Linked DNA regions of Drosophila melanogaster. The protein of the gene in region 1 interacts with the protein of each later gene in a pairwise test. Each region holds a gene or a part of one and is shown on either strand. Other genes may lie near its edges. The genes, in order: FANCI, CG17290, Nhe2 and Rbp6.

What was found.
Region 2: the proteins of FANCI (region 1) and CG17290 interact in a two-hybrid assay, tested with the Drosophila melanogaster proteins (one large-scale study listed by BioGRID).
Region 3: the proteins of FANCI (region 1) and Nhe2 interact in a two-hybrid assay, tested with the Drosophila melanogaster proteins (one large-scale study listed by BioGRID).
Region 4: the proteins of FANCI (region 1) and Rbp6 interact in a two-hybrid assay, tested with the Drosophila melanogaster proteins (one large-scale study listed by BioGRID).

What each region holds. Positions count from the first base shown.
Region 1 is NT_033778.4:8,934,064-8,941,571, reverse strand, and holds FANCI (fanconi anemia complementation group I), read left to right. Parts: upstream 1-1,782; 5' UTR 1,783-1,818; coding exon 1,819-1,890; intron 1,891-1,948; coding exon 1,949-2,403; intron 2,404-2,463; coding exon 2,464-2,699; intron 2,700-2,758; coding exon 2,759-2,868; intron 2,869-2,923; coding exon 2,924-3,374; intron 3,375-3,430; coding exon 3,431-3,519; intron 3,520-3,577; coding exon 3,578-3,690; intron 3,691-3,752; coding exon 3,753-4,018; intron 4,019-4,070; coding exon 4,071-4,414; intron 4,415-4,468; coding exon 4,469-4,809; intron 4,810-4,870; coding exon 4,871-5,202; intron 5,203-5,259; coding exon 5,260-6,031; intron 6,032-6,090; coding exon 6,091-6,955; 3' UTR 6,956-6,996; downstream 6,997-7,508. Other genes in the region: CG13748 (uncharacterized protein), read right to left, coding at 762-1,103.
Region 2 is NT_033778.4:17,153,068-17,157,671, forward strand, and holds CG17290 (uncharacterized protein), read left to right. Parts: upstream 1-1,521; 5' UTR 1,522-1,674; coding exon 1,675-1,677; intron 1,678-1,771; coding exon 1,772-2,068; 3' UTR 2,069-4,058; downstream 4,059-4,604. Other genes in the region: CG17287 (uncharacterized protein), read right to left, coding at 4,107-4,604.
Region 3 is NT_033779.5:21,106,156-21,110,796, forward strand, and holds the start of Nhe2 (Na[+]/H[+] hydrogen exchanger 2), read left to right. Parts: upstream 1-1,625; 5' UTR 1,626-2,072; intron 2,073-4,641.
Region 4 is NT_037436.4:17,235,169-17,239,892, forward strand, and holds the start of Rbp6 (RNA-binding protein 6), read right to left. Parts: upstream 3,045-4,724; 5' UTR 2,664-3,044; intron 895-2,663; 5' UTR 270-894; coding exon 184-269; intron 1-183. Other genes in the region: Afg3l2 (AFG3 like matrix AAA peptidase subunit 2), read right to left, coding at 3,943-4,724. UniProt on the Drosophila melanogaster protein: RNA binding protein that regulates the expression of target mRNAs at the translation level. May play a role in the proliferation and maintenance of stem cells in the central nervous system.

The DNA.
Region 1 (7,508 bases):
CGAACGGCCCAAACAGACAATATGCTTATAATGTTTATAAATATTCAAAAAAATAAACCAGTTGTCTATCGCTGAATGGAATTTTGCAGGCTCCAATCGATTGAAAGTCAACAAACAAACATTCGTAGTTGCTAGAATTGTCTAGAAATTTGGATAAGATAGCATTGTTTTGTTTTTACCAAGAATAGTTGCTATTTAAGGGTTCTTTTATTAAATTTGTTATGTGATTACTAAAAAATGCACTAAAATAGTATAGTATGCATAGTATAGTATAGGTATTAACTTTTTAAGCATCTTCCAGATTCCAAAATAGTATACTATACATAGTATACTATAGGTATTAATTTTTTAAGCATCTTCCAGATTCTAGGAAATATTTGTGAGCTTCAGATGATCAGTAGACCTCTCCCACATCAGTGAACACCACATCGAGTTGGTCGTTATAAAAAACTCTTTATTCCATACAAGTATTTTATCACAATAACTTAAGCTCTAGATGGGTGGTGAGTGCTGGACGGACACACCCAGGAAAGTACAAAGTAGATGGATTCAATGACAGAAACTACATAAATATTAGGTAGAAGAAGGGACGGTTAGTCGCATGGATTGTGATGTTTGTGTGTGAGTTTGGGTGTGGAGAATGCTGCCTTTGGTTCGCTGGATTGCAGAGCTCGAGGGGAAGCAGCCGCCTTTGGCAACACATCGGTCGCGGAGGACCGATCGCTATCCGGATCGGAATGCGTATGCGGATGCGGAGAGCCCTACATGCCCTCGCAGGTGGACATGCAGTCCTTGTAGCTGGCGAAGTTGTTCTCGTTGCCGTCACAGCCGCCGAACTTGAACTCCACGCACTTCTTCTGCTCCGGATCGTAGCGCCAACGGGGGATCAGGGCGCGGCAGACGCCCTTGCGTGCCGGCATGAGGCAGAACTGCTCCGGATGGGTGTTGCGCCCGGTATTGGCCACATCGTCCAGCGAGATGGCGTCAAAGAAGTCGCTCACGTCGTCGTAGAGGTCCATGGGAAACGCCTCGCTCCATCTGATCCCCGCCAGCAGGATCAGCACCACTGCCACTCCAACGTACTCTTTCAGTTGTCCGCGCATTTTGTGTACTTGATTTAGCTTCGTATTTAATTCACTTGATCACTTGGCGATTGTCTTCACGCAACTGTTGGCGCTGCAGTCCAGCTTTTGGATTTATATGGTGCCACTTTGTAGTCCGAAGCGGGCGAAGGGAAGCGAATACTAGACAATACTCCCATCTAAGAGCCAGCAGAGCTTTCCGTTCGACTCCAACGCTCTTTGGTTACTCTTTCGAAGAGTCCGCTTTTGTACTGAAAATCCAAGTGTAGATATAACTACTTTTGTTTATTTACTGTTGTGAGCATTATCATCGTAAAACATACAACCATATTTTTTGTTTTTGTTATTTTATGGAAAAACAACCTGTTTGATTTTCTATATGGAGTAGACAAATAAATTTTTTCTTAAACTACAAATTTAAAGCTATTTTCCATTGGGTTTCATTGAAATAGTTTTTATATTTCAATTAGAAATATAGAATGCCTATTTCTTAGTTTTGAAATTGAAAATTAAATGTTTTATGGAAAAGATTACTGTTATCACTATTTATGGATTTTTTTAAAATTCCCGCCAATTGCATGCTATCGATATCAGTGGGTGGTGCAATCGGTAATCATATCAGGCATTTACCATTCCTAATTTGTGGTAGTTGGTGAAATCTGGCGCGTCTTTGTTTAAATCGTAAATTATTACATAAATTTAGTTGGGTATGGCACGCGAATCAATTCTAACGTGGATGCGGAGTCTGGGTGAGAAGGCGCGCTTTGATGAGCTGGAACTGCTCATTCAAAACACTCCAATAGAAAAGGTTGGACCCATAAGGCGGAAGGCAATATAAATCTTAATTGATAAACATTGCTTGATAGTTAAAGGAAACCCTTAAATCCACAATGACACGCAGCGAGGGCATAACGTATTGGAACTACCTTCTCCGTGGCTTCAATCCGGAGAGCAAGGATGCGCTAGCCAAGCGATTCGAATGTGTCCGCAGCTTCATGGACGGACTGAGCAGCACGGAACTGAGCTACAAACAGACTTTCGATCTGATCACGCGCCTGTCGCAGGACCTGGCCACCTTTCCGTCCGAGCAGCTGGCCTGGATCGTGGAGCACTGCATGGACGGGATCCGACAAGGAGACGCCAAGTGCGTCGGCTGGAAGGATTTGCTGCCGGACGCGCTGTCGCTGCTTTTGGCCAGACCGCGGTTTCTTCTGAACGGCATATCCATAGATGGAATGGAGTTCAGGGACACTACCGTAAGGAGCATTGCCACCATGCAATGGCCAGCCTCAATCCTCACGCCAATTGCCGACATGTTCAAGTGGGTGACCACCCTTAAATTAACCACAATTTAACCACACAACTCATACAATCCCCCTAGGACCATGAATCTTAGCAGTGGCGAAATTGTGACAGTACTCAACAAATTCTCTGGCGCCCTGCAGGAGCTATCTCCCATGGAACTCCCAGCGCTGTGCTTCCAGCTCTTTTCGATGTGCAGCACTGCTTCCCAGTTGATCATTCCGTTGCTGGCCCTGGAGAAGTATTTCCATCGCAACTACTACAAGCGGCTCTTCTCAGACATGTGTAGCAACTCAACGAACTTGGATAGCATTGGTGAGCCTGCACCATATAGAAGACTATATTCCTAGAAATTGACAGCATCTGATCTTTAGACTTGTTCTCGGACAAGGAACTAAGGGAGGCCGAAGAGACTATCCTGCATCACTTGAACTACTGTACTATGTACAAACTTACTGAAAAACATTTGGCCATAATGCTGAGAGTAAGCAGGTCCCAAATCAATCGATCGCTTAGTAACTTAACTAACCATGTTTCAGAACTTTCTGCACATGCCCGATGTGATCCTAACTCCGTTTATGCTTAGCGCCATTATCTCGATGACCAGCATTAATCGCGATCCAGAGTCCGCTAGAATATCTCATTCCATTTTGCTACCTTTTTTGCGCAATGTGATCAAAAACAACGAGGAAGAGCGAACGTTAGCCGACTACTCCGTGTGGTATCGGGATACATTGCAACGCAAGCAAGTCGATTTGCAGCAGGTCCTCACGGTGCTCATTGATCAGAACAAAGACGGCAAGGATGTGATAACTCCTGGGCTGGTTCATCTCGTATTTTACTTGCTGAAATCGCAATCGCCCAAGATGCACACATTGGCCATCACATTTCTAACCAAGTTCATTCGCAAGCGATTCATTTTTGGACAAGGCATCATAAAGCTTATTTCAGAGTGGATGATAGTATACCAGGAACAAAATCAGTTCTCGGGTAGGTCAAGCAAAATGTTCTTAATAATTCTATGCAACAAGAATACATATTTGCAGAATGCCTCACACTTCTAAGTGTGGCTGATACGTATACGGTCTCCGAGTGCATGAAACCAATTCAATCTGTTTTGGAGCACATGCAATGGGCAAGTTAGTCCAATGGCATAATTGTTCTTTAAGCTAACTCCGTTGTAAATATTTTAGCTGTCTGGTGAGCAGTCCATGCGCATGATGAACTTTATTCTACCTTTGCTAAAGATCTCTAATCGCGTCCGTGATGCGCTAATTGATGTACTTTGCAAAGCAATGAGCTCGAGGTGGGTCTAATTACCTGTTCGTGGTACTGTATTTACTTTTTATTCTGCACTTTATATTTTAGTGGAATTCAAAAACGGCGAATGGCGATTTATGGGTTCTGCATGATCCTCAAACAACTAAACAACAGCAATGCTGTGCGCCAGACCTCCAGCGCCACCAGTTTCTGCACTCAACACAGTATCTCTGGCTACTCCATAATGACCCAGAACACACTGGGAAGTCGTAGTAATCCTCAAAGAAATTTCGACATGCTCACGTTGGAAATTATTGGAATGTTGCGAAACTGCTTGCAACAACAATTCGATATACGGTGCTCCCTGTATGAAAGTGAGTCGAATGAAATCAAATAATACAACTTCTAATAATGCATTTCAAATAGATCTTCAGAGAGCAGTGGAGCTCAATGCTAAACTAGTGCCACATGTGCTGCAAGTCATTGACTGGCACTTTCGCAGCTTCTTCGACACCCCCTCTGCAGAGGATGCTGGTGACGATCTAGACACAGTATTCCGCATTCGCTACGATCAATTGGTTAGCTCTAGCGATGATCAACACATGGAGATTCAGCTTAAAGACAACCTGGGCAAGTTGATTCAGTTCGTGGCCAACTGCTTGGCTGTTTTCGATCGAGCTCCATCGGGCTACGACACTCGTGAGATGAATCGGCTCATGAGTTTCTGTGTGGATCGTATGGTGGCAAACAGATTACCCCTGGAAGAGATAGTGAGCAAGATTATTACTTTTAAATTTCAATAAACTAATGCCAACTGATTTCAGACGCCGCCAGCCACACATCTAAAATGTGCCCTCGTTCTGCAGCAACTGAATATCATTGAAGGAATTATTTGCCACTTATTGCTCAAATCCAAGCCACAAAACAATGCTGTTTGTCAAATATTGCCTCTTTTTAATCAGCATTGTAAGCTTTTGGAGAGTCTTAAGGCATTATCGGATGCATCCAAGAAAGCCCATAAACAGTTGAAGCAAACCGCCAAGAATAATAGCACATCAACGTGCAATTTGACACTGAACGGCGTCCCGGTGAAGACCATGTGTACACAGCCTGATAATATTTGGGACTTGGCCATATTGGATAAGCTGCTCCATCTACTTCTTGAGTTAGTAACCTTGACGTTAATCCTTTCTACTTCTTAAAACTGTTTTCAATTTTCCATTTAGTGACGTCGTAGCCTTTGCTGCTCCAGAAAAAACAGTGCTCTTGCGCTCCAACGAGCCCCTCGTCCGGTATGTTTTATCCGTAACGGCCAGCAGAGTGGAGTCTATACGCCTGGAGCCCGATTATAAGCAGTTGGCCTACAGTAAACGCACCTTTAAGCAATTGACGGACATTACAAAGGTCATTTACGAGCGCTGCATTCAACGCTTGCCGGAGCTGTGGAAAAATTTCGACATGCAGAGCGCCGCCCTAGCCACTCAGTGTTTTTCTGAATGCCTAAAAACAGCTCATGAAACGTACTCAAAGAAGTTCGAAGATTTTGTCAAGTCATTTGGTAAGTTAAGTCATGCTAAGTATATGAGGATAATCTAAACTATGGTAAAACTTTTAGATTTGGCATCTATAAAGGGAAGCAGAAACAAGGAAGTGGTTTACACAATTCAGGATGTTTTAGACGACTTTATGACGGAGTACGGCACTGATGATTCGATTTGTAAAAATGAGTTCGTTTCCAAATTGCCTGTTTACCTCTTGGAGTCGCTTGAAATTCTTTTGGATCACATTGACTACCAGGATCGTGCTGCCACCGAATCGTACACTTGGCTGCTAAATTTTTGCAGCAAAAACGAGATTCTCAACAGTGAAATGGGCCTGGTGCACAGAATGCTATTCGTTCAGCGTCAAAAGACCCACTTAGGTCCCTTCTTCGACAGTGTTGCTCGGCAATTGGGTCACGTACTGGGCGTACAAAATGAAGACGCTCCCTCAGAATCTGTGGAGCTAACTCTAAAGTCCATAAGTACAGTGACCATCGAGAGTTGCCTACAGCATCTGTATGCTGCCATCCAAAAGCAGCTGAACGATGTGGACTACTTTGTGACGAAAGCCAACAATCTAAACTACAAATGCCAAGTGGTTCCCGAAATTGACCAGATATATTGGCGGGGCAACCTGGATTCCATGGATCGTTCCATTTGCACACAAATAATCCACATAAGTCGCACTTTGCTGGTGCTCACAAACGTTTGTATTCCTCTAGGTTCTTTGATGGACGGTCTTATGAAGTTGTTGATTCAGCACTACACTTGTTTGAAAAGCCTGACCAAGCACTACATATCGAGCTACACATCAGATACGTCCATTGAGAACATTAAAAGCACCAAGTGAGTCCATCTAGTCGTAGATTTAATGGATATCTAATCTGCATTTTATTCTCCAACAGATTTGAACTTCTGCTACGTGCAGTTGGTAAACAACTTCCGGCGAATATTTACGAGCTCATCACGTACATAGAAGCTAATACCCTGGATGAGGAAGCGCAGCAGCATACAAAAAAGCGGAAGGTCCAGGCAGAACGTGCTAAAGTTCTGAGAGAGACTCGGCTAATTCCCAAGGTTATAATGGTTATCGAGGACTTCAATAAGCACATTATTCTCCTGTCCAAAAAGACCAAAAGCAAGAATAGACTTACGGACTACCTCCACTTGGGAACCATGCGCGACTTCGATATCAAGTCGACGGATTTGAGGGCAGCTATAGAGCGTAGTATCTCGGATGGCCGCAACATTTCTACCGAAGACAGTAATGCTGAGGATCGGGATGAGGATGAGGATGAAAATGAGAATGTAGAGGAAGACGATGACGCACAGTCCACCACGTATCCAGAGGACTTGGAGGAGAAGGAAGATGAATGCTTAGTCATAGAGAAGAAGGAAGAAAGGCGCAGGAGGCGTGCACCTAGCAGTGAAGCAGAGGATCCACAACCCAAACGAAAAAGAGGCCGCAAAGCTGCAGAACAGCTGGAAGCTGAAGATGAAGAGCAAGTCGAGGAAGAGCAGCCTGAAACGACTTTAAAATTAAGGCGAAACAAAAAAGTGGAGCCAAAAACCAAAAGGAGTGTGGCCATTAAAAAACCCGAGGAGCAGCCATCCCATGAGAGTCGTACCAGTAAAAGGTCAAAAGGTCCAGCGGATAAGCAAACAGCGGAGCCAGCCAAAGTGGATCTTTGCGTTCCCGAAGTGCCCGCTGAGAAGAAGAAACCACAACCTAGTCGTAGACTGGGAATACCTCGTACATTAAGGAAATGATGTTTTGTTAAAAAAAAGTATATTAAAAAGTATATGTATTTAAATCATGCCAGTCCATTGCTTATTCAAAAATGGTTGCGATTATCGCAATTACTTAATTTTCATTATGTGCTGTATTGCTGTTTTCTAGAATTTCCACATGTTCAAAAAGAAAAATTGTTCAATGTTTTTGTGAATCTTGTTCATTTAATATCATTGGAATTTTAGCTACCTAATCTCTGTAAATTAAAAGGCTGCTTCCCATTATTTATTAGTACTGCAAATAAAAAATATATATAAGTATATTCATAAGCGAAACTTGATAAATTAAACAATGTACTCACTTGCAGCGTGTGCCCATGTCCAGAAACAATAACACTTCCGTCATTGCCCACCGAGACAGTTCGTCCATCCGGACGCTTCCACACCGACACACTATCATCCCAAATTCCTGCTTGATCGTCACGAGCCACGAAGTTTTCTCCCTGGACGCGGCCATCTTTGATGCTGCGGCTGTCCCTTTCAACAATCAGTCCTTCAAAGCCCTTTGCCAAGGTCGCTCCACAGGAAACTG
Region 2 (4,604 bases), 8.2 Mb from region 1:
CGTCGCACGTGATGTGAAATGGCAAAGGATTTGCCGGGGGAGCCGGTCGGCCAACAGGGGAGTGCACTGGACAATGGCGTCTAAATTAATTATCAAGGATAACAGCGTGAAAGGTTCAGCGACGCTGCATTGTCTCCTGGCTCCTAATTCAATTACGACAGCTGGCGGCGTGGTGGGGGCAAATTAAAAAAGGCTTAGGCCAGAGTTAATACGGACTTAAGCGGGGTAATTAAAAGCCCAAGCTGCAATTGCATTCGGGAAATGTCTTAACTCACAGCGGCTTCCAACCCCGTTTTGGAAACGGAGGGAGGGTTGCTATTCGCATTCCCCTGCCCATCGTGGCTGCCGTAAAATCACGAACTGCAAATCTCTTGAGAATAATTTGAAACATAGAACAGCCCGAGGAGCTGGAGAGGAAAGCCAAAAGACGATGCCGCCGAATCCCTTCCACATTAAAATATGATGAGCTCGTGAAGGCAACGGCACAAATGAAAACGAAGTTAATAAAAAAGGTTGTAAAGGGAGGAGGGGGCGAGCCAGGTGAGTCTCAGGTGTCTGCGGAGGGTGTCCAAAAAATAATCAACATAAAAAAGAAAATTATTTGCAATATTATCAAGAGCTACAAAAGTTACAAGGCAGACAACAGTGGAAAGCGAAACGAAGAAATGAAAATGCTGGCCATGAGAATACCAAAATGAAAATATGCCAAGGCAGTCGGAAAAATCATGTGGAATTGTTTAGCAAAAGATGAACAATAGGGATGCAATTGATAGCTTATAACAATAGTAACAATGTGAGCTATTAAATACATTCATATATAAGATAATCGTTATGTTCAAGCATTTTGTTTTAAACAGTTGAATTTTCCTTAAAAGTGTATTTTATCAAAAAATTCTTTTAATTTTATCAATATCTGCCGAGTTTGAACAAAAATAAATTATATTTAAATTTTTCTATGTACAATTTTAAGTGAGCTACAATAAATTAAGCCCCCCGAATTTTCCCACTGTTTAATTTCAGATAGATTTTCACAGAACATTTGCGTCCACTTAAACTTCGCAACTGCAGTTCCTTTTCGAGTTTTGTAATTGGGGTTAGGTCCAGCAATAAACACCAGCCGTTTAATCACAACGAAGCCAAATAAACCAGCTAAAGTGAGATGCAAATTAAATTTGGTTTTAATCAAGCAGAGCCAGAGACTCATGTATTTTCCATGCGGGGGCCGAGCCACAAGGCCGTGTTCAACAAGCAAATCAATTAAAGGGCTGCGCCTCGAGCGTCAAACAAAAGGCAAAAGTCAAGATTTTTGATACGAATTTGACCTCAAACGAAGTCATCACTTGACCACTTTTAAAAAGACAATGGGACAAGCGATGCATTAGGCAAACAAAAGCAAATACACGAAACGTGATCAAAGTTTTTCCATTCGATTTATGGCTTGTGCATCCAAAACTGCCGGACAACCGGTTCGATGCGGCCGGATTCATCGATCAAGTCATTGGTGAGCGATTGAAGATCAGCAACAGATCAAGTTCAAAGTCATTTGGATCTAGTGTTGCTTCCGTTGCCGTCGGCAAGAGTTGGCCAAACAGTTTTGGGCATATAAAAGCCATCGGAGATCATCGCATTCACAGCACACATCTTTCGTTGAGCGCAGTCTAAACACTTGAAATCATGGTGAGTTGCTGGGTTTTCGCTCTAACAAATATTTATCTTTGCCTTTCCAACGATTGTTTTTTTAACATTTGCTTTATATTTTTTATATATTCAGAAATTCCTGATCATTGCCATCGCCTTCTTGGCCTGCGCATTCGCCGATGTCTCGGAGCTTTCTGGCTACGACTACCAGCAGCCAGCTCCTGCTCCCGTGGAAACCTACATCCCACCTGCACCGCCAGCACCTGCTCCCGTCGAGACCTACATCCCACCTGCACCACCAGCACCCGAGTACATCCCACCTGCTCCTGTCCAGGCCGAGGAACCCATCATCGAGGAGATCGAGCAGCCCGCCCAGGACGGCTACCGCTACAAGACCGTCCGCCGCCACGTCTTCCGTCACCGCAACTAAGATGAAAGCCATTTGTTATTGTTAATTTGTTGACTCGAGTGCAATTGCTGAATACCATCTTTAGAAATTCACTTGGAGAGTAAATATCTATCTGTGAAAAATTATTCGTTGTCTTGTCCTTCTTTGGTTGCTATCAAAGTTGAGTTCGCAGGAAAATATACTACAAAATTTAAAACTATACATAAAATACTTCCTAATCGATGTATGGAAGGACAATTTTTAAATTCAATCGCCTTATCAACAGGTTCCCATCGTCCAAGTGCCCAAGTTCAATTTGCAATGCCAAAGTCGCCATTTGAATGGGGTTTCCTTGGCGATAACCATCGCCCCCTCTGGTTTTTCCGTCATCCAACCCTCTTTAACCCCGACCAACCCACAAAGGCCTAAACAAACCGCTCAAGGACAAACACATGTTCTGGCCAACACTGGCATTCCAATGAATTCTCTCCCCATTTCGAAAGTCTGGCAGTAAAAAGGTCAAACCGTCGACTAGACCAATTTGACTTAACCAAAAATTGCTGAAACATTCAATGAGCAGGGACAAAAAGCGCTTCCCCTTCCCGGCAATCGATTGGCTTGGACTCAGCCAAAGCAAACAAATCCTCGATTACAAAATCAAACAGAGGACAAAAACAAAGGATGCCGAAATGGAAAAAATGTTTGCCCATAATGCAAAATGGGAAAATATGCGAATTCAATAAGCTGCGAGCGGTTGCTTGGTTAGCTTGGCTGGCTGGACAGAAAGGGCGATGGCGACAAGGACATGTGGCTGGGCAGGATACCTCGTCTCCTCCGTCTGACGGCGCTTACAAGTCATTTGGGCCAATTGCTGTTGACTCTGCGCTCTAAGGCGAATTTCCGCTGCGAAGTTCACATATTTTGCACTCACTTTATGCTGATGACATGCAAGTGGCAAAAATTATTTGCGCTCGTGCATTTGGCGACCAACTACAGCCACGTCTCCGAACCAGCCAACGTCGAATAATGAGCAGCAAACAAGCTGTGGAAATCAGCAAGCTATGGTCTAGGCACTGGGAAAAATTCTAGTTAAATATAATAAAATATTGCAATAGAAGTAGGAAATAATGCTAATTGATGATAAATCCATTATGAAATGACAGAAGTGGGAGAAGATTGTTCTGCTACGAAAAAACGTACCTATCATATTAAACTTCTTTCCGGCTTTTCCCAGTGCATGCGAGAACGGGAACAGACTACAGGAGCATGAAGAAAAAATGCCGCCCGACGGCAGACAGCTCCCATTTCCATTTCCATCGTCTTCTTTGTCGTGACATACGGAAAATTCCCCACGGAGTCTATCAACAGTTGATAAAGCAAAATGTGCGTAGAGTCAGCCGGAGAAATGGTAGGACCCTGGATGGCATTCTTTTCCTTTTTGGTATGTACATAAGTTTATTATTTTGAAGGTAATTGGATTTGTGTTGCAGCAGTCAAGAAGTCGCCGCAGCATAATAAGAAAATATAGACGAGGACATTGAACTTGGGGGCGCGACAATCCCAACATATGCTCAGTGCCCAAGGAATCGCCTCTGGCCGGGGAGTCCATCCGCTGGACATCGCACATTGGTCAATGGCCATTGTTTGCACTCGTAATTGTTTTCCTAATGGATAAAGTCTATAAATTTCTGCGACCGACACCCGGCCAAATGCGAAATATGTCACGAATGTTAAGCGCTTTATAAACGACTCCAATGCGTTTGTGGGCAGGAGCGGACTAGAGAACCGGAATGTCGAGGATTTATCGATGTTGGCCACTCAGCGGGTCGAAGAAAAGGCCAGCGGATTGCAATTGCCAAGCGGATGGAGTCAGATCCTGATGCACTTGCCAATGACTCGTAAATTAAGACGTTGATGGAGTTCCCCCTTTTCGAATTGTCTACGGGAGCTGTCTCCTCGAAATTTTTTTGTTTCGCTTTCCTTGATTTGAAATGGAAAATGAGAAAATTTAAGACACATAAATTTCAATAACAGTGCATCGTAATAAAAATTTAACATTGCTCTTTTATTTTAAGCGAACCTATTCTTCATTGAAAGGTGGCTGATGAATTCCGAGAATTCGATTCATGTTTTCCTTGTACATCTGAGTTCTGGTGGGTTGATTATCTTTTTTCTGGTTACCGGTACGGACTTCCTTTAGTCGATCGTGGGCCAAGGGGAATGAAAATCCGTCACCACGACTAGAGAAGATCGGAAAGGGCCAGAGGTACCACTTATCGCCATAAAGGTCACGAAAATTAACAAAATATCCCAAATTGAAACCATTATTGTTCTTGCCGCCAAGAAGAAAGTATGTGGCATAAGCCGACTCCATAGTGGTGCGATTTCGAGATACGTTTAACAAGCTGACAGTGTACATAATCACGGTGAATATGTTAAAGAGTATGCATACCAAGTACTGAAGAATGTTCCAGGAATGCTGATTTTTCAGGGCAGTAACTTCAAAGCCACAAATCAGGTACAAATCATAGACCATTACGCAGAACAGATAAAAGCAATATACTTCAGCGTAAAACAG
Region 3 (4,641 bases), on another chromosome or scaffold:
TAGATAATTAAATAATATAGTTACATAACAATTTTACTGTTCGGCAACACTGCAAGGGTATATAGCTTCGACTAGCCCGACTTACTTATTCGCCGCGTTATGTGTCCTTTGTCCTTCGTCCATGGCCATTGCAAATGTGTTATGTGTAATAAAATAGTTTTATTCTGTTTCCAATGGCTTTCAATCTGTCTGATAAATGGTAGCAAAGGAGATGGAGGGGCTGTCTGATTTACTATTTCGGTTCGTCCTGCCGCGTGTCCTTCGGAAAATTCTGAGGCTTACATAATAGCCGGTGGCTGTGGCGGAAAAGCTTTAAGGCGTGCTGGTCGTTATTACTGTTATTGCTATTTTTCAGGCTGAAAGTTTAAACCGCACACACGCACAAAATATTGAGTCTAATGAACCTATATATATACATATATATATATATATATTGGAAAAAATTATTCAACGATTTTTAGCTCTCTAAACCACTAGAAAAATTATAGGAAATACAAAGAAAATTGTTCGATTGTAAACAAATCACAGGGTAAACCCTCTGCAAATATCAAATTTTAACTTTTCCCATTTATTCCTTAACTTGAAAATAAGTTTTTCTGTACAATTGCCATCGTGCCAGTGTTTTTGCAGTGTAGCAATGCTCTCTTTTGATCCATAAAATCGCCGTTAGGACCACCCAATCAAGGCAGCAGACGATGCAGTTTCGCCAAATGAACCCCCAGTCTTTGGATTCCATTACGTGCACTTAGCTGCAGTCGTTCAAGTACAAGGATAATGGGACGCCGCAGTCGTGTTTTCAGACCAAGATAATAGAGCTGCACCCACGCCATCAGAGGCCAACTGTGGATCGATATTATTGAAATGCCACGTTATTGAAATGCTTGCATCGAAAGTGCTGCTCTCACTTAGTTGCTCCATGCCCTTTGCAATTATCAAGGAATTACAATCGTGTTGTTATCCTTGCACACAGGCCCGGCCCGCAGCCATGTTGTGCCTCCAAAAAAAATCAATTTCCATTGCAGAGAAGACGGCTTTCCTGCCCTTTTGGTGGTCGGTCAACTTCACTTGTAGCAGCAATTATTCATTTCAATTAACTGCACAACAGTGTCCACAATGCTAGGAAATTGCCAACGATGTCCTTTTGAATTTCAGCTAGCTTTGTGTTTGGCGTTTTTACTTTGAGACAGAAGAGCATACTATGTTCACATATATGTGCATATGTTATGGTTTTATTGGGTTCGCTTGTTGAGGGGGAGATAAAAATATAGTTTCTATGACGAATATAAAAAAATTTTCTTTTTAAGCCCTTTTCTGTTCATTTAATTTACCTATTTATTTAATTGGTCCCAAATCACAACATTCCGGGATATATTCATTTAATATAATAACATATGTAATATACCATAATAAATACAGCAATGCATTCTTCTTTGGACTCTTGAAGGATGAGGGATAGTTACTAGATATTTTAGTTGGCACCACTTTTTGCTTTTATTTGCATATACTCTTCCTATGCCTAACAGCTGTTAATCCGGCTTACAGACCCACGCTAACAGCTGGAGCACCTCTGTTATCAGGCCGATATTTTTCGAATATATTTTCCACCAATTCTCGCATTCATTCAGTTCTCGACTGTTGAGCGCGCAACTGTTTTCATTTTTCCGGCTCGGTCGCAAAATTCGATTTTCCACTACACTTTATTTGGGAACAATTCGGATACGTTTCGGGAAACTTTTTAAATATGCAAATCGAACCGAAGCAAGCCGTGTTTTTTCCTTACTTTTAAGGTTGTGTGTTTTTATACTCGTAATGTGTAAACATACGTATACGTATGTATCTACGCCCTCTTCAGTCAATAAATATTAATGCTATTTTGTGCAGTTAGACAGGCATGAATTAGAAAGCATTATTTATTGCACACGTCTGCAGTGTGAATCAAAACAAAATCGGAAGCGGCCCGAGAGTGGGTGAGAAAGAGGAGGAGGAGGAGAGCGTGAGAAACCCAGTGGAAAAGAAATAACAGCTGCCGGCTGATTTGTTGCCGAAAAGGAATACGAAGAAAGAAGAAAAACGTGCGTAATGAAGTTCAATCTACACTGAAAACCAATCTTAATCTAAGAATTTGTACCTTTGAAATATATTAACAAGTGCTGGTCAATATAGTATACATCCCGATGTGGATTTTATTTTCCTAAATATTAGTAACTAGAAAAAAATCTAAAAGATACATTTCTCTGATGCAGATACTACGTACTTGTACGTAAGATAAATATTTGCAGGTTATGCAGATGTTTGCGCTGTATTCCTCGTGTATTTATAGACCATCTTCTATATTTTTCACGTTTCCACAAGACTGTTTTTCCTCTATTACTTATTTTTTGACGTCTACAGAGAGTGCACTTGAGTTTATTTTGGTCTTTTGCCGGCTCAGTCGATCTTGTTTTCAATTCTCCATTCGTCTTGCTCCACTTATTCGCTCCCGCTTCGCATTCCGAAATCCCAAGTGTCTTTTGCCTACATAGAAAACATTTGTAATTGTTGCTGGCTCGGCCTACATGTGTCTACATATTTCTTGTCGCCAGTCGACTATGGGAAATTTACCCCCTTTTTTTGGCCAAAACCTATTTTATGAAAGTCGATCGATGAGGAAGATAATATTAAATTTATGCATGTATGCATTGACCAATGTTTAGTTCTGGATATTAGAAATAAATATAGAGGGCGCCACAACAAAGAAATCAGCTGTTGAAAACAGCTGTTGCACTCAGAAAATATGTTTGTCTGAAACGAACAAAGCATTTTTTTTAATTCTGCAAAATGAATTTTATTCTGTGTGGTTTGTATAAAATAAATTAAATATCTTAATCCGTTCTGGAGTTACAAACTACAAAAATATGAAAGGCGGTGCCACGCCCACAATTTTTGGTACTATAAAAGATGTGTGGTAGTGTAACCCAATGGAATAAAAATTATCTTAACATCTCTCCCCGTTCTGGAGTTTTTAATTTTGGCCAGAAAAAGTGTTCAAATTTCCCATAGTGCAGTCTGATAACATGGAGCAGCATGGCAACATATGTATGTACATACGAGTATGTACATATGTACATATGTGCTCCTGAATCTTGCTTCACGCAAACCCGATTCTTTCCACTGACTCATCAGATTTAAAAATTCTTTATATAGCTATGTAAATCTTATTATGCCGGATGCTTATGTATTCATAGAATTATTAGACCCTTAAATAATTTTCCAACCGAAAAATTTTAAACAAAATAAGTTGAATTACTTTAGTCTACCATTTTTATTAACATGGGAAAAGACAAATCACGATTAAGGAACGCCGAATTCTTTTAATTACTTTTTTTATGATTACTTCCAAAATTATTGTTTGTGCTAAGAGATGCTAAGAGACGAACTTTACTCGATGAGTCAAGAAACACGTTTCGTTTAATCAAACATGCACATATAACCAAAAACTCACATGGGCTGAATATAGCGCTGACATAAATTCCTCCAATATGTACATATATACATATTATATACCTAAAGATATAGATACATATATATATATGTAGATACATACATATACATATACATGTTTGTGCATATTTTGCCACAAAGGCCTGTCAAAATTTTTTTTCAGAATTAAATCGTCAATCAAGTTGATTTCATTATCAATTATCAGCCAATAAATTAAGATATGAACTCACACCGAATTATCTATGAAAATGAATGTAAACAGTATACAATTCGTTATCTAACGTGTTTCATAAATATAAGCCCTTACCTGTGAAGGTGCTGGTCAGTAGCCTTGTAAAAATGATAGCAATAATAATAACTCTGAGAAACAGGAAAACACCGTGAATTCCTAGGCAAATTGATACCTGGGTATCAGGAAAGAACCGTGAATTCCTAGGCAAATTGATACCTGGGTAAACAGATATATGTATGTACATATATGTATGTAATTCGTTTAGAAAACAATCCATTTCAATTAACGTTTTGTTTTGTGTGGCCTGCTGACCAGCGCATATTGTTAACCACGGTAAGTACTATGAGTTCCAAAGCTCATTTGGATTATACTGATAAAATGTGACATGTCCTTGTACAACAACAAGATTCGATGATGAGACTTAAATTAAATCATTAGACCTTGGCCACTTTTGAACAATTGTTCATTTTGTTTGACCTGTAAACAGTTAAGAAATATCTCAAGTAGTCCGTTCGTATGATATTTACCAAAATCCATTTAGGAATTAAACGAAAAATATAGAAAATCGACTTTTGAGCTTTTAATTACGTCCAGTCGAGCCAGCAGACCAACTGCATGAAATATTTTATCAGTGCAGTGATCTCATCTAGGAAACGGCTTTCATTATAGACTCTAACTAAGGTCACTTAAGCTGGGCTTTTTCACTTACTGGTCAGGTATTTTTGGTCAATAACAACTTATACTTAAGTATGGGACGTAGTATTAACGGTGGTTTGTTTACGTATGTGCGTTTATCTAGGGGAATTTTGCACTGCTTTCTTTTTGGTATCTCTAAGATAAACATCAAAGTCGGCCTGTGATAGATAATATAATAATTATTTGTTAGTTAATTGAAATATTTTTATTACCCGGATTTTTAAGGAATCTGT
Region 4 (4,724 bases), on another chromosome or scaffold:
AACTGAAATATAAATTTCGCACATCCTTTTAAGGATGGTGATTTTTAGTGCTTGTAGAGCGAAAGTAATATAAATAAATCGAAGTAAATCTTTTTCTTCTCAAGTTGATTAAAATATATTCTCTACTTTCTGAGATACCCTTTCGCTAGGGTATACATGTACATATAAGAGCAGCACACTTACCCGGGATCATTGGGCACCTCCGAGGGGGAACAGGGTCCCAGCTCCACTTGCTGTTGCTGCTGCTGCTGCTCAATCTTGATGTCCATGTTGGGGGTTTTGGCTCGGGATTGAGATTGAGTTGGAGCTGGAGCTGGTGATTGGAGTTTGCAGTTGGGGCTGAGCTGAGCTGATGTGGTCGTCTGGCTGTCTATTCTATAATTGTTGCTCCAACGCCTTCTGTGCGAGCATCGAGATGCGAGGGGAGGTCGAGTGGTTCTGTGCGGCTGAGTGGCTGTGTTACTGGGTGTTATGTGTGGACGGGGGATGCTGCTACTACGAGTTGGCTAACAGAGTGTTCCCTTAATCATTGGCCACGATGGCTGCTAGTTGGCTGTTCGATTGGCTGCCGGATTCCTTGTTTTCCATTTGGCCTGGCTTTGGTTGGCTTTCCCGCTGATTTTCCACGGCTTTTCTCCTGCTCTAGTTATCGTTTTATTTAGCTTGTTAATTATAATTTGGTTACATTGCACACATTGAATCACATTTCTTGGTTGTTTTGGTTGTTTTGGTTGCTTCGTTTTGCAGGCCACTTTTGGTTTGGTTTAAATATTATTGTGTATTTCGTAACTATTATTTCGTTTGTTGTTTAGACTTTAAGTTTTAGAAACGTTGCGTTAACTTTGGTTGTTGGTTTCCCAATTGATTTGAAGGCAACATATTACTGCAAAAGATCTGTTTCGTTGTGTTTGGTGAAAATTAATTAAATTGCAATTTTAAACTTTGCCCAGGGAAACTTTTGAAAATGCAATTTTCCCCTTCACTCGCTCCCCCTCGCCACTCCTCGCTTTCCCACCCATCCGCAGCTGCTGCACCACCCCCACCCACCCCCTAAAATGCAATGATTCGCAACGAACAATCGTAAAATGCAAAAAAGTGCAACCGATGTGGGAGCGATAGAGAGAGAGAGGGAGGAAAACCGTGGAAAAGCCAGGTGAGGAACGGGTGGGAAAAGGGGGGCGGTTAAGTAACGGCTGAGTGACAATTGGGATGCGGTACTAAGACTGTAAAAGATCTTTGTTTGAAATAAATTTGACTCACTTTACACATATGGCATGAGCCATCAAATTAATTTTCTTAGAATAGGCGTCTCATAAAAAATTAAGAAAACTAAATATAAAAGGTTAAAGATCCAAATGTTTTTCAAAAATTATAAGTATACGTGTTTACTTATTGTGAGCTTGTGTAATAATTATAAAATTCCAAATATTTAGTAAAAAGCTCTCTACTAATTTCATAAATTCCCATCGTTGTTAAATAATCTGAACGATTTTTAACATTAAAAAGGTTTTAAGTGACACTTTTTTTTACGCCAGAAACACCTTGGTTTCCCGAACAATTTTTCGGAAATTCAAAAATGCTGGCATCCAAATTTTATAGCTTTGAACTTTTGCTTGTTAAAGCAATTATTTTCCGTTGCTTTCTCTCCGAAATTATTCGCTTTCCTATATTTTGTGTGTGTTCTTTTTTGCATTTTCTGTGCTTAATACGCGCCTTGATTTTTCCCACACCCACAACAGCAGTAAAAGCAACAACAAATAATAGAAAAAGACAGAGATAGATAGATAGGGAGGTGCGAAAGGGCAAGAAGAACATTGCATGCAGTGACTCCCTCAACAAAAATTACAACAACGCCAGCAACAATATAATAACGCGCAGCATGCAAGCTTTCACGAACAGACACGCACACACACAATCGTACATCAGCACACACACACCCGCACAGGGAACATGCACCGTTACAACGAGAGCAGAAGTTAACTGGCGGCAGCAACAAACACGTGACCCGACAATTGCAATTGCGACAATTGGCAGCACAAAATAAAACAAAATAAACGATAAACTAAAACAGAGCTAAGAGAATCGCCGACAGGGGGCGCTCGATTGATCAGTAATCGAAGTTACCGTTACCGATGTCAGCCATTTTATAAAAGTGATCACAACGAAGATCTCTAATAAAAGGAACGAAAATATTAATCAAATTTAAATTTTATGTAATACACGTGTTTGTTGATTGATTTTACACTAATTGATAAGAGATATTTTGCTTCCTATCTTAAAGCAGAATAAATGCAAATGGCAAAACAAATTTAAATATAATTTTCTTGACAAAATAAATAAACATTAGCATTAAATTCTCCTCCTTGTTCTGTTCATCCTAATGGTCACCATTTGTCATAAATACATAATTTTAATTTTCTAAGAAATCAAACAAGAAGCCTAAAGGAAAGTCTCAGGAAAAATAAAATCCAATAAATCAAACATGAAATCGCTAGGGATTCTCTGCCGCTCTCTTTCTATCGATCAAGTATGGATGTTGCCGTTATTTTGCCGGCCGGCAGCCATTTTGCAGGAAAGATCAACACAAACGCAATGTGTTAGTGAGTGTGAGTGAGAGGGAGGGCGGGGGTGCGAGGGAGAGGTTTGCGCTTTAACTCCTCTACTTCAGCGGTTATTGTAGTTGATTGCAATTAAAATCGAATGCCGCGCACTGTTACTCGTTTTCCCTATTTTTTGTATTTTGTATTTTATATTATATAATCGTCAAATTGCACTCCACACAGCCATCGAGGTAAACAAAATGCAAAATGCCCTCCACAGCAGGGGTTTTCCTTTCGGGCCTCTCGGTTATATTGGTTTGGTATCTTGTACGCGATTTGGTAGTTGTTTTGGTTAAAACGCACGCACTCCCACGAGCGGTACGAACAGCTCTGAAATCGGGCGACTCGAGAGTAATATAGAAACTGCAACGGTTAGTGCAACGCTGGCGTTCCGCTTTTCTCAGTGCGCGCACACGAACGCGACAACCAACAAGACGACACTGAGCGGCGAGACCCCAAAACCCAACTGACGGCCCCAAAACGACCGGCGGCAGCGACGTCGACTGCACTGCTGCACTCTCTGCCTTCGCTGCTGTTGCTGCTGTTGTTGTTGCCGCTGGTGCTGCCCCTACGGAGCTTTGCACCGGCAGAGGCGCCGACTGCGGCAGTTGCACTATTTACCGGCTGCACATGGCGCATGTACTTCAGCATCACAGCTGATAAGTGATAAGCCGCAGCGAGGAAGAGTAGCCGGCGAAAGTTTGCGGAGAAAGCTTACCGAAGAGAGCGGCACTCTCTTAAACCGCGTGCAGCTTTAAAAGCTCACACTGAAAAAAATTTTAACCTGGCACTATCAGTCAACTTAAGAATAAAGCTGGCTATCCCAAAGTTAAGAACAAATTTTGCATTCCAATGTTATCATAACATTTTATTGTATGAAATATACATAATGAAGCAATACATTGTATGTATTTTGCAACTTTTGCTGTTTTCGAAAACGGGTTTAAACCGTAAGGCAGTAACAACACTGATTCGATTATTTTTCGCCTTGATAACATCGTTTAATTTCGCTTTTCCACACTGACAGGTCATTTCCATTCTTTATTGCCATTTTGAAACTACGCATACGGGGAATTTAGTACAGGCTAGCACTTAATTGCTCAACACGGGAACAAGTTATCCATGTGGGTATCTTAAAATTATGCAAAAACAATAATGAACGCGTCGTGGAGAACTGTAACTCCAGAAGGTCTAGGAACTCCTTGAGCCCTGCCTTCTCGATCTGCCACATGTCGGGGTTTTCTCCGGTCCGCGTTTAGGGATTACAACAAAAACAAACAGATGTCGGCACCCTCGAACTACCACACCAAAACTCCCCATCCACATGAGCGAAGATCGTTGCCTAACTGCTCTGGGCAGTTACGGGCTTGGTGGGCGGCGATGATGGCGTGCTGCCAGCGTCCAGAGGCTCCGTTCGTTCCTTTTCCTTGTTCCAGCTCTTGAGGCCTTCGGGCAGAGTGGTGTCCTCCTCGAAGGAGCCGGTACCCTCGACGAACTCCTCGTAGGTTGACTTCTCTTTGAAGGGTCGTGGGCCCAGCAGCTCAATCATATCATCACGGCTGAGCACTTCGTTTTGGAGCAGTCTTTCCGCCACTTTTTGAACATTCTCCTTGTGCTTGGTCAGCAGACTAGTGGTGGCCTCGTGGGCACATTTGATAATCGACCTCACCTCGTTGTCGATCAGCTGCGCTGTGTCCTCCGAGTATGGTTTGCTGAAAACGGGATCACCGGCCTGGCCCACATCGAAGCTGACCTGCCCGACCTTCTCGTTCATGCCGAAACGCACCACCTGGGAGTAGGCAATATCGGTGATCTTCTTTAGATCATCCTGAGCACCAGTGGTAATGCGATTAAAGAACAGCTCTTCGGCCACACGTCCGCCGAGCGTCATGCACATGCGATCGAACAACTGCTCCTTGGACAGCAAGTAGTGATCCTTGGGCAGATACTGGGCGTAGCCCAGACCCTTGCCGCGTGGTATAATCGAGACCTTCAGCAGGGGATCTGCGTGCTCCAGGAACCAACCGGCCACCGCATGGCCAGCCTCGTGGTGTGCCACCGTTCGCTTTTCCTCCGGCGCCAGAACATTGGTCTTCTTCTCCATGCCAGCGATAACACGCTCAA